3 linked regions of the Rattus norvegicus genome follow. Each later gene encodes a partner of the first gene's protein in a complex. Links are inferred from orthologs where the notes say so. Each region holds a gene or a part of one and is shown in the gene's direction. Other genes may lie near its edges.

Evidence for each region.
Region 2: Taf7 (region 1) and Taf12 share a complex: the UniProt entries of both Homo sapiens proteins name them as parts of the TFIID basal transcription factor complex. The link is inferred for Rattus norvegicus from reciprocal best matches to the Homo sapiens genes TAF7 and TAF12.
Region 3: Taf7 (region 1) and Gtf2b share a complex: the UniProt entries of both Homo sapiens proteins name them as parts of the TFIID-containing RNA polymerase II pre-initiation complex. The link is inferred for Rattus norvegicus from reciprocal best matches to the Homo sapiens genes TAF7 and GTF2B.

Annotation. Positions count from the first base shown.
Region 1 is NC_086036.1:29,710,676-29,714,667, reverse strand, and holds Taf7 (transcription initiation factor TFIID subunit 7), read left to right. Parts: upstream 1-1,343; 5' UTR 1,344-1,578; intron 1,579-1,955; 5' UTR 1,956-2,016; coding exon 2,017-3,042; 3' UTR 3,043-3,492; downstream 3,493-3,992. UniProt on the Homo sapiens protein: The TFIID basal transcription factor complex plays a major role in the initiation of RNA polymerase II (Pol II)-dependent transcription.
Region 2 is NC_086023.1:149,755,452-149,759,693, forward strand, and holds the start of Taf12 (transcription initiation factor TFIID subunit 12), read left to right. Parts: upstream 1-1,442; 5' UTR 1,443-1,518; intron 1,519-1,563; exon of another isoform or gene 1,564-1,588; intron 1,589-4,242. UniProt on the Homo sapiens protein: The TFIID basal transcription factor complex plays a major role in the initiation of RNA polymerase II (Pol II)-dependent transcription.
Region 3 is NC_086020.1:234,426,490-234,430,533, forward strand, and holds the start of Gtf2b (transcription initiation factor IIB), read left to right. Parts: upstream 1-1,244; 5' UTR 1,245-1,253; coding exon 1,254-1,270; intron 1,271-4,044. UniProt on the Homo sapiens protein: General transcription factor that plays a role in transcription initiation by RNA polymerase II (Pol II). Involved in the pre-initiation complex (PIC) formation and Pol II recruitment at promoter DNA.

The DNA of each region.
Region 1 (3,992 bases):
TCTGAATTCCAGGCCAGGCTGGGATAAGCCAAGTTCTGGATCCAGGAGTGGTGCTGCACACCTTTAATTTGCGCTATACTTTCTGCAGGAGGCCTATATAAGGACATTGGAAGAAGGAAGACTCACACTTCTTCAATTGCTTGCACTTACTTCTTACTTGCCAGCACATCTGTTGGTACCCACTTCTTCAAGATTCCAGTTTATACAGAAGACTGGGTGAAAGAACTAACCTCGTGGGACTGAGAAACTAGATTCTTGAACTTTCCATTCACAGCTGCCCATTGTTGGGTTAGTTGGGCTACAGACTGTAAATCATTACATTAAAATCCCTTAATGTATACAGACATTCCAGAATTTCTGTGACTCTAGAGAACCCTAACAGTACAGACAGTACCAATGGGCAAAACAAAAACAGACCTAATTATCAAATTTCATAGTTTTGAGAAAGTCTCTAATGTACTAACCTTGTTTTTTGGCTTCTGTAGTTCTGTCTCTGGAAAGTGGTTTTTGTAACAGAAACATGCCAATGTAGAACATTTGTTTGTGCTTAAAAGCTCACCCTGAGAAAGCCTTAGGGCCACACTGGGATCCAGAACACCCAATGTAGTCGCTGGCTAGCTAATACTTTATATTGGCTTAAAACTATGTCCAAGCAGCCTTCTTTGGTGGATACCCAACAACAAAATCAGAACGTTTGTGTTTCAGGCAAGGCAATTCTGTTCTTAATGAACCTGTGTCATCATAAAAACATTTGTATACAGTTATATCTATCAAACATATTACCAAAATAGCGTATCATACATATCACACCTCGTCCTCTGGAGCCAAAAATACTAACGAAGCTAAAGGCTTAGTTCCTCTCAAAGCTAATTAACATGATTATACACAGCGTTATGTGGTAGACAGCAAAACTGTATCATTCCACTGTTTTGGCCACTTTACTTTCACTTTGTGATGCTTCCAAAGCTTTTGGCGGAGGGACCGGGTATGCCCTGGGAAGAAAAGATGCTTTCTGCAGGGACGCCCTTTATCTCTGGCAATCACTCTAGAAACTGTCTTAACCCACGACTTCATAAAAGTGCTGTCTTAGGGGGTGTGCTTATGTTTTACTTTTTGGAATCTTCATCTTTGAATTCCAAGCCAAGGTTTTTCCGGAAACACTAGTTTTAATCCTATACAAGGTAAGTTCTCACGAGAAGTAGTCACGAGACGACGTAATTACGAGAATGCGCCTGCGCGCGCCGCGACGTTACTACTTCCGGAAGAGCGGCAGCCAGCCCCTCCGCGTCTACTTCCGGTCTTTGACGTAGCGCCGCGTCTGCTTCCGCTCACTGCCGTAGCACTTTCTTTCCTTCTTTTCTGCGTGGGAGGAGGCTTGGCAAGGTCCTCTCCGGAGTTCGGATGTTTGAGCGGCAGTGTGGCGAGGTTTCGCGCTGCGGGTCCTGAGCCGTTTCGTTGTTAGCGCTCAGGTCGCCTTGCCGGGCGGCTGAAAGCGCGGACAAACTGGAAGGTAGACGCACCGCTCATCGCTGCTTTACTCAGGCCGAGAAAAGCTGAGTTCATAGTTGCTGGTGAACTGTAAGTACCCGAGCCGAAGAGCTCACGACTTTTATTTAAATCTCTTACTGGAGAGAATCCGTGGATTGGGATTGCCTGCCAGACGGACGGACTGTGCCTAAAATCCCCTCAGGCGCTGCTGTTTTCTTTGGCTGTTCACGTGATGCTGCAGCGGCGTCTAGAGGCCCTAATTTGGTATTGCATCTAGTAGAGGTGTGAGTTTAACAGGGACAATGCCAAAGTGGGATGCATGTTTAGAGATTAGTATTGGGACTTAATTATAAATTAAGACAAAATAGGCAGTAGGTGATGATCCACTTAGTTGCTGTTTTCCTTAGAACTCAGTAACTAAGAGTTTAAGATTATTCTTAACCTTGTCCTTTTTTTAACTGTTGTAGGAGCTGGAACTTGTTAGTGCAGCAGGTGTTTATTGGAGAAGTAATTCACAAGGAAGTGAAGATGAGTAAGAGCAAAGATGATGCACCTCATGAGCTAGAGAGCCAGTTTATCTTACGGTTGCCCCCAGAATATGCCGCTACTGTGAGGAGGGCAGTGCAGTCTGGGCACGTCAACCTGAAAGATAGACTGAGCATTGAGTTACACCCTGATGGGCGTCATGGGATTGTCAGAGTGGATAGAGTGCCCCTGGCTGCAAAATTGGTAGATTTGCCGTGTGTTACGGAGAGCTTGAAAACCATTGATAAAAAAACCTTTTACAAGACAGCTGATATCTCTCAGATGCTTGTAGCCACAGTAGATGGTGATCTATACCCTCCTGTGGAGGAGCCAGCTGCTACTGCTGATCCCAAAGCAAACAAGAAAAAAGATAAGGACAAAGAGAAAAAATTTGTTTGGAACCATGGAATTACTCTACCTCTAAAAAATGTCAGAAAGAGAAGGTTCCGGAAGACAGCAAAGAAGAAGTACATTGAATCTCCAGATGTGGAAAAAGAAGTAAAGCGGCTGCTGAGTACAGATGCAGAAGCTGTCAGTACTCGTTGGGAGATAATTGCTGAAGATGAAACAAAGGAGGCAGAAAATCAAGGCCTTGATATCTCCTCTCCTGGAATGTCTGGCCACAGGCAGGGCCATGACTCACTAGAGCATGATGAGCTTCGAGAGATATTCAATGACCTCAGCAGCAGCAGCGAAGATGAAGAAGATGTAAACATCATTGACACTGAAGAGGATCTGGAGAGACAGCTACAGGACAAGCTAAATGAGTCAGATGAACAACACCAAGAAAATGAAGGAACCAATCAGTTGGTTATGGGGATTCAGAAGCAGATTGATAATATGAAAGGCAAGCTTCAAGAAACCCAAGACAGAGCAAAGCGCCAGGAGGATCTCATCATGAAGGTAGAAAACCTGGCTCTGAAGAACAGGTTTCAAGCTGTTCTGGATGAGCTCAAACAGAAGGAAGACCGGGAAAAGGAGCAGCTTAGCTCTTTGCAAGAAGAGCTGGAATCACTTCTGGAGAAGTGAAAAGGTTGACTTTAGTCCTTAGACTAGTCAGCTTAAGAAGAATTTATTTTCAGAGTGAGGTCTTGAAAAATTCTTCTTTTTTCTTTGAAATATTCTTATTTCCTGTAATGCTAGGAGTTATTGTGTTGATTGTTTTCACTCTTAAGAAAATAGGATTACATAGGCAGATTTGTTGTAGTGTAAGGTTAGTGAAGTGACAACACTGAGCTTTTAATCACTTCACCATAGGACTTTATTACAATTTGTTTCCTAAGTTTCTAGTCCTATTCTTCGGTGCTAAGATCAGTAAGAAGCTAGCTAGCCTACAGGCAATGGAGTGTTTTTTTTTTTTTTTTTTGTTTTTTTTTTAAGAAATATATTTTTTTACCTTCTCAGCAAGTTTCCATGTTACAGAAATGCAAGTTTTTTCATAAAAGTTGTTTTTTGCACAATAAAAGTTACTAATTTTCACTTTGCTTATCTTGTTCTTCAATGAATACTGAAAGTTGAGGTGAGCTCATGGAGTTTAATGGCTGAGTGGTATAGATCAAGATACATGCTGTTGTTTTGCCTTTTTAGAAAAGGAATACACCAGATAAGGAAATGGAGAAATTCATCTTTGCATTATAGATTATGGTTCAGGCCTACCTACACCATCTGGAGGTTTGTGAACACTCGGTCCAGAGCCTTCTTAAACTATCCTACTTTTCATTGAAGGATATCTGTCTATATCTTTTTATTAAACACTAAAGTTATCTATAAAATACTGGAAGCAGTTAAACAGTTATCAGATGAACTATTCCACTTGCTTAGATTAAGATTATATTCTTAACTGTTGCCATTTTAATTGCTATGCTTTTTTAATAGGCATGTTTGTTCATGTTATTTCATTAGTATTTGCCACTATGAAAGCCTGTTACCAGGTCTGGTATTTTAAAATTTCATACATAGAATTTTTCTCTGAGGCATTT
Region 2 (4,242 bases), on another chromosome or scaffold:
TTAAATACAAATTCCCATCTCACTCCTCAGTTTCCATGTCTTTTCACTGCACACTGAACAGAACCCTCCCACCTCTTCCAGCTGTCCCTTCCTGTCACCCAACCGAGCTTCAGCCATGCTGGCTCTCTTAGTCTTGAGCATTGACTCAGGACCCTCCATCACTCACAGTCCTTATTCTTACCTCTCGTGCACTTGCCTGTAAACTCTTAAAGACAAATTTGTCTGACTTCCCCCACAGGAAACACCCAGCACATAGCAAAAAAAAAAAAAAAAAAAAAGATGGAAGAATGCAACAGTAGCAACTGATTTGTTCTCTAAGGAGAACCATGATAGAAAAATAACGCTGAGGCTGGAGAGATGGCTCAGTGGTTTAAGGAATCTCTTACTCTCGAAGAGGATCTATGGTCAATGCCAGTTGCCACATGGTGGCTCACAACTATCTGTAACTTCAACTCCAAGGCTTCAGATGCCCTTTTCTGACCTCTTTGTGCACCAGCCATGAACATGGCATACATATATAAATGCAGACAAAACACTTTTACGCATAAAATAAATCCAAAATAAAAATCAGACTATAGTCAGTTTGCCACTTAATGGTAACTAAGCTCTTGCATCCAGGACTTTGGACCGGGAGGGTGGATGCGCCTAATAGGAAGAGGATGGAAAGATGGAATGGAATTTGTTTGGGCGGGAACCGTTAGTAGCTGAGATGTTAGACATGTATACATCGGTTTGCAAGATTTCCATTTTACTGAGAATCCTTGCCAGGGGCTAAAACCGCGTGTTGCTTACATGCCTAGCACTTGGAACAGGGAAAATAACAAAAAATGTACTCAAAGCTCAGGACTTAATGGTTTAACGGTTACTGGACCATCCCGGGCTTTGGAGTGAGAATTTTCAGTTCAAGTCGAGAACCTACATCTCTTAGGTAGAATTTCACACAAGTTTCTTCCACTAGTACATGACATTCCAAGTGAAGGACTTAACCACTTCCTCAGACAGCTCTCGTTCAAGTGTTATTGAGCTAGAAATTAAGTAATAGGCACAATCAGCCTCTCTAGTCCCCAAGTTCTCGAGCTGCCAAATAGTTGAAATCTATGCCGAACTGAGGTCCCATCCTCATATCACGACAAAGGCACCAACCAAAAATGGCGACTTGGAAGCCCTCCGAGGCCGTTGGTTACCTAGATATGAGTCGGAAAGAAACATCTAGGACAGGGATTCACGCCGAGGTAGGAGATGCAGTTGGTCCACCAGTCAGCCACACAACACACAGCAGAAAACACAACTGACCAGATAGGCGCTAGGCTCACAGCTCAACCACGTGCTGTAGTAAGGTCTGCGCCTGCGCTAGTCAGGCGCGCGCCCGGCGGCCGGAAGAGCCGCGCGTTTCCGGGTTGGAGGCGGGGAGCGGTGCCGGAAGTGCTTGGGGAGGGCCGCGCAGTCGGACCGGCTGCTGAGACGAAAGCTTCACTGGGGCAGTCTCCGCATATCATGGGGAGATAGACGCTGCTGCCTGTGAGTCTTGGGCCCTGGCAGTTGAGGATGAAGAGCGGGAGGAGGGTGTCAGGACCCAGACCCACAGCGGGTCAGTGCTGGAAGAACTAGGTTGTGGAAGAGACGGGGCTGTGAGGAGCCAGGCTCTTGGGACGGGACTTGAGGGGTTCGGGCTCGCAGAAGCAGCGGCTGTTGGGGACTCGGGCTCTGAATGAGACTTAGGAAACGGGGACGGATGTGAGTTCTGCAGCATCTGAGGGAAATCCTTCTGAGAGGGACACAGATGGTGAAGACCCTGTACTTTATAGGAAGCGAGGATAGGAACGAAACGGGGCGTGAAGACACCGGCTCCAGAGAGGTAAAAGTGGAGCCCGAGTCTCGGGCTCCTAAGAGACAGAAGCAGAACGGTAAAGTCCCAGCTCCTAAGGATTCAGAAACAGGGCAGCAAAGACTTAGGGACTGGAGATAGAAAAGCAGGCAGAGAAGACTTGAGTTTGAAAGGGAACAGAAATGGGCAGTGAGGACTGGGTCTTCTTTGGGGACAAGATCTGGGCTTTCAGACTCAAGAGTTTCTGAAGGGACAGGGATGTGAGGACCCGAGCTCCTAAAAGTGGAAGATCTAAGGGGTCCTTGAAGGCTGGGAGATCAACCTTCCAGGGAAAGAGGTTGAAAAGATTTAGCGATCTGTTCTCTGTACCCAGAGGGTTACGATATGTTCGGGGGAAGACTTCTTGGCGCTGCCTATTTGGCTTTTTGCATTTAGGCTGCTTCTTGTGTCAGATACTTAATCTAGAAAACCCACACAAAACATCTTCGTTTTTCTTCATTATTGTGAATCAGATATAAAGTTGAAAGCGGTTGAACTCAAATATATATATATATGTTACTTAAGCCCTATTCCATTCAGTCCCTGTGGAGCACAGATCTCTGCATCACAAGCAAACTGTCATAGATGGAAGGGCAGCAAAAGATCATTTTGAATTCTTTTACATTTCAGGAAAAGAGGGGCCAAAGAAAGATTAGCATCACTATGAGCCAATTCGGTTATACCGACCTCTACCATGTACAGCAAATAAGAGATGCTTGGTTGAAATTACTCGAATAAAATGCTTTTAGAATCTCTACCCTCAAACTCAGAAGGGATTTTTTTAATGGATTTTAATATTTTAGTACCTATTATGGCATTGTGTTACAATGTGAGGAAACAAACTTAAGTGAAACCCATTTTACTTACTTTTCAAAAATGTGTTGAGAAATTCACAAGTAAATGTGACCTAGAATATTTTCTAGGGATTGCTTTTAGAAGAGTGACTTGGACCTTGTCGTTTCTCTTCATAAAGATCCACGACTGAAACCTCCTCAGATGAATCGGGCAAAACTTAATCACTTTGGGTTTTTTTTTTGTTTGTTTGTTCTGTTCTCTTTCCTTCCCTCCCTCCTTTCTCTCTCTCTCTCTCTCTCTCTCTCTCTCTCTCTCTCTCTCTTTCTTTCTTTCTTTCTTCCTTTTTTAAGACAGTTTTTCTGTGTAGCCCTGGCTATCCTGGAACTCACTCTGTAGGCCAGTCCGGTTTCAAACCCCAAGAAATCCTCCTGTCTCTGCCTTGGGAGTGTTAGGATCAAAGGTGTGTGCCACCATGAACAACTTCAACACTTTCAAGCATTCCATTACTTTGTTATCACAATTCCACAGTTAAGTATGGTTAGTCATGTTGTACTATGTCTTATGTCCATAGAGGATAAGGAGTTTGTCTTAAACAGCATAGTATGGAGTAGCTTATCCCCAGATGTGCCTCTAAAACTGTCTTGAACTTTCCTAAGTGGACTCCCCTCCATGTGTAATTTGCATGTGAGCAAAATATACATAATATTTATAAAGCCTGCCACTGAATGAAAGCACACCCCTCCTCCCCCAACTATTTAGCTCCTCCTAGCCTGGAAATTGCTATGTAGACCAGGCTGGCCTCAAACTCTGAGAGCCACCTGCCTCTGCCTTCAGAGCCCTGGGATCCAAAGCTGCACCATCATACCCAGCTTCTTCCTTAACTCCTTTTAAAGTCAAGGACTGTGACGTTTAGGATACCTCCATAGTATTTGAGATCTTAAGTTCCTGTGTTTTCACAGAAGCATAGATATTCCAGGTAGAAAGAGAAATATTTGTAGACTCCTACAATAGAACAGGTTATATTTAATTTTTTTGAAAATTAGGGCGACATCATTAATTGCTAGTGTGTACTAGATGTGGACGCTTGGGCTAACATAGCCAAGCATCATAGTGCTTGACTGTGATCCCATTACATTGGAGGTAGAGGCTGGAAAATTAGGAGTTCGATGTCAACATGAGACTTTATCTCAAAGGAAAAAAAAAAAAAAGAAGCAGATCAGGTGAGGTGGTTCTTCTGCTGAGGTGATTGTCACAAAGAGGGATGATTTCAGTTCAGTCTCTGAGTCCTGAGTGATGGAAGGAGAGACCCAACCCCAAAATTATCCTCTGAAAAAGTTTTTTTTTTTTTTTTTTTTTTTGTTATTGTCGTTTTTAACATCCTTGAAGCTATTATTTTTCCGGTAGCTTAGCCGCTACTATTAGTTTTTAAGACTTTTACTAAGGGTGATGAGACTTGTACAGCCGGCACACGAGAAAGACCATCCACAAAGCAAAGGGAGGATTTGTAAAGCTAAAGCCTCTGGTGCCATTTTTTTTTTCTTTTTTCTTTTTTTCGGAGCTGGGGACCGAACCCAGGGCTTTGC
Region 3 (4,044 bases), on another chromosome or scaffold:
TTACTGAGTTTTCGTCTCAGTGGAAGATGCCCACCTTGTGGTTATTTTGATTCAGATTTTGTCCACTGGGTTTATTTACAAGAGTGTATCGTTATTACCTTAAGGAAAGAGGGTGGGACCTGAGACAGGGTCTCACTCTGCAGGTCAGGCTGGCTTGGGATTCCAGACTGCCCACCTCTGCAACCTAAGTGCTAGAATTACAGGGGTGAACCACAAGACCTGCCTTATTATTTCCAGGTTGGTACGAGTTTAGCTGATTAATGCATCTGGGCCCTAGGACAGTCGTTAGCTGTTTTATCAGTTTTTCTATACTCAGCTTTCAGTCAAATGTCCAATGATGATTGGGGAAAGACAAAAACCTGGGTCATAGCAGGGCCAGACTCTCTGTCTGCCTCACAATATATATGGCTATCACTGGGCTCTCTTGGATCTCTTGCAATTCTAGAAGGGTTTGTGAGGCAGACACCCTCTATTCCCTACACTATTGAGGTAAAGGACATGTAGGAACTTTGAATCATGTTGGTCTATGACAGAGCTTGAATTGATAACCTGTTCCTCAAGACAACAGCTAATTTCTCTTTTTATTACAAATTCCTTAGGGCAAATGAGAGATTCAATCAGACAGGGAAAACTGACTGAAAAATAAAAAAGTGGTTTGGTGTGAGGGCTTTGTCCCTTTCAACCAACCTGGTTTCCTTGTGTGTTGTTTGTTTAAAGGTGTTTGTTTGAAACGTGGTCTGACTCCAGATCCTCCTCCGACCTTCTTACTGCAGGAATACAACAGGAGATCTGAGGCAACTCCCATTTTAATCTGGTCTGTTTGAGAGCTAGCTCTGGTGCAGCTCATCCTGAGACTCTTCTTGCTTTGGCTTTTTGTTTGACTTGTTTGAACTTTCTCTCCTCCCACCACTCCCCCACCCTACCTCCGGCTGTTATGGAGCTCCTAGTGTAGACCGGGCTTCCCCTAAACTCACAGAGATCCTCCAGCCTCTGCCTCCCGAGATTAATGATGCGTGCTATCACGCCAGGCTTTGAAATTTTGCCTATTAATAAGCAGCCGAGAGCCACGCAGCAAAGAAAACCAGGAAGTACACAGCCCGCGTCGTCATGCACCCAACACTTTTTGGCCTTCCTCCCGACCCGTAGCTGCGCGGAGTGCGCGCGAGTGACTCGCACATAAAATCCCGGCTCGGGGCGTCTAAGAGCCAGTGCTGCTTCCTGCTTTGGACGGAGCTGTTGGCGGAGCCTTGAAGATGGCGTCGACCAGCCGGTGAGTGCAACGGCCTCCGAGCGAGTGGAGATGGGGATCGCGGGGCCGAGGCTCCTCCAGAAGGCCGCCACGGGCGTCCCTTGTCCGCCTGAGTCATCGCCCCCCGGGCTTGTCCCTGCGGATCGGCACGGCCCCGACCTCCGTCTCGGTCGGACCCTCCAACCGTCTTTGTGTCATGTTAATGTTTTCTGTGTATTTCCTCCCTTATGGCCCATCCGGTCTGAGGGTCCGAAACCGCCTTTCCAAAAGCTGGGGAAGCGACGTTCCAGGACCCTGTCGATCTGACAGCCACAAAGTTGAGAAACGTCAACATTGGTTGTCTGGTGGAAAGGGTCGCCAGCTCAGTGGCTCCCCCGAGAAGTGGAAATGAAAGCACATACGGAGACTTGATTCATTCTCCTAAAAGATCCCACCCCCGTCCCCACCCCGAAAAGTATCATTGCATACTCCGAAGGAGATGCTGTCTGCAGAAAATTAATTACATATGCTGGAAGTCATTTTAAATGTATTTTTAAAACGCAGTGCACTTAATATCTACAGGAAATGCGTGTTGTGTCCTCAGAGACGGCCTTTAATCTTGTGACCTGCAAAATGCTTTGCAGACCCTAATTATATATCTCTTGTAACCACTATGAGGTACATATTAGTATATTGGCATATGTGTAAACTGAGTCATGCTAGCATGTTGACCTTTCCAGTGCCTAGTATACCTATTTGTGATTATCATTCCACTGGTCTCCAGTTAACACAGAATGTACAGAAAGTATCAAATTAAGTTCTTCACTACTGGCACTTTTTTTCTGAAGTGGTTACTCTGTGTGGAGTTGCTAAACGTCACCACAGGAAGCCATTATTCACCAAAACCTCGGCCCATTCTGGGAACCTCCAAGTCTGCGGTTTATTATAAAAAGTGGGAGGTGGGCATAGGAAGCCGCTTCAACTTCATGTGTGGAAGCCATGGACACTCTTGTTTACTGATTATGGTTTAATTAGATTAATTATGATTTAATCATTCCATCTGGGTGTGGTTTTATCAGGTAAGGCTTCCTTGTAGGGACATGGGAACCTTCAGCTTCCCCAAATACTGTTGAAATTTCCCATGGCTGACGTGGAATCTGAGTGTGTTCCTATGTAGGCATTGCTTGTCTTTCCGTATGGAAAAGGAACTCCTATATTCTTGAAACACAAGTGGTAGTGTTTGAATAGTATACATTGTAAAATCACTGGTTACAATTTTTAAACTTTTCTTCCCTTAAAAATTTCCTTGAAATTTATTTTTTTCTGGACAGCCAGTTTTTGTTTTTGAGTTACTGGTCTAGAATCTTCCTGTCCACCTTGAAAGCTAGGGGATTGCAGATATGCCTGGACCTCATCCAGCTTTTCAATCTGTCATTATTGTTCCTATCATGTTTTTCCACCAGTGTGAGTAGAGAGAAGTCACTGGTAGATTTTTGCCTGAGAGTTTGTCCTTGAGGGTGGTATGTCGTTGGCACTGGCTGGTGTTCATTTTCCAGGAGGACATGTCCCGAGGGACGCCTACTACTTATTCTGACTTCAGTAACTTTGACCACCATCTCTAAAATGAAAATAGTGCCTGTCTTTCAGGATGTGTAGATTGAGCTTCAAAATGTATTTGGGGCTGGGGAGGGGCTCCATGGTTAAGAACAGTGGCTGCTTTTCCAGAGGACTTGGGTTTAATTTCCAGCACCCACATAGCAAGCTCATGAACTCTAACTCCAATTCCAGGGTATCTCTTCTCCTGTCTCTGTAGGCACCAAGTCATATTCATGCTTCACAGACAAACATGCAGACAAAAAGCCATACTAAAATAATGTTCAAGGCAGTATCATTTAAACACACTGCAGAGTTCTTGATGTTTCCCTCTCTTAAATGCTAGGGATTGAAACCAGGACTTGTATATACTAGGCGAGCATTCTCCCACTAAGCTACATCCCCAGCCTCTTTGCCTACTTTGGTTTTTGAGACTGTAGAGTAAGCTGCCCTGCAACTCTTATGTACAGTTAGTTATCGGTGAGCGCCATTCCCAGTCCTTGACCTGCTATTTACTTATCTACTTATCTATTTACCTTTTGAGGCAGCCTCACTCTAGTCTATGTATAGTATAATATATAGTATTTTATATATATATATATATATGTATATATATTATATAGTATTAGGGTGGCCTCGAGTTGATAGAATACCTTAGTTCTGTTCCATCAGAGCTGGCTGGATAGCCTTGTTGGTAGTGCCAGACTATGTTAATCCTTACCATACTGTTAGGTTAACTTCCTGCTTTGTTTATTGCTCTTATTCTGCTAACATTTCCCTTATTTTAGCAGCTTTTTGATTTTTATGTATACTTTCCATAATTTACTTTTTCTCTAACAAATTTACAGAACAACTGCAAGTATAAAGCAGTGTCTGCCCTCTCCCATTTTCCCAATTAGAAAACTCCAGGATATGTTTTAATTAAGCAAATAAGTCTGGTGGTTTACATGTGAATTCTTTTAAAAATCAGCTTCCCATATGACTTGGTTGTTGGTAGTTAGGGAGCTGGAGAGATAGATACCTGTGGGGAAGGGCACTTGTTGCTTTTGCAGAAGACCTGCACACACACAGTAACTGTAATTCCAGGGCATCCCTGGGAACTAACCATTAAGACAGTACAGCACACACATGCAGGGAAAACACACATAAAACAAAAAAATCCTTAAGAATAAGTGAATAAAAAACAATGTAGTTGCTAAAACATTCTGAATCATACTAGCTAG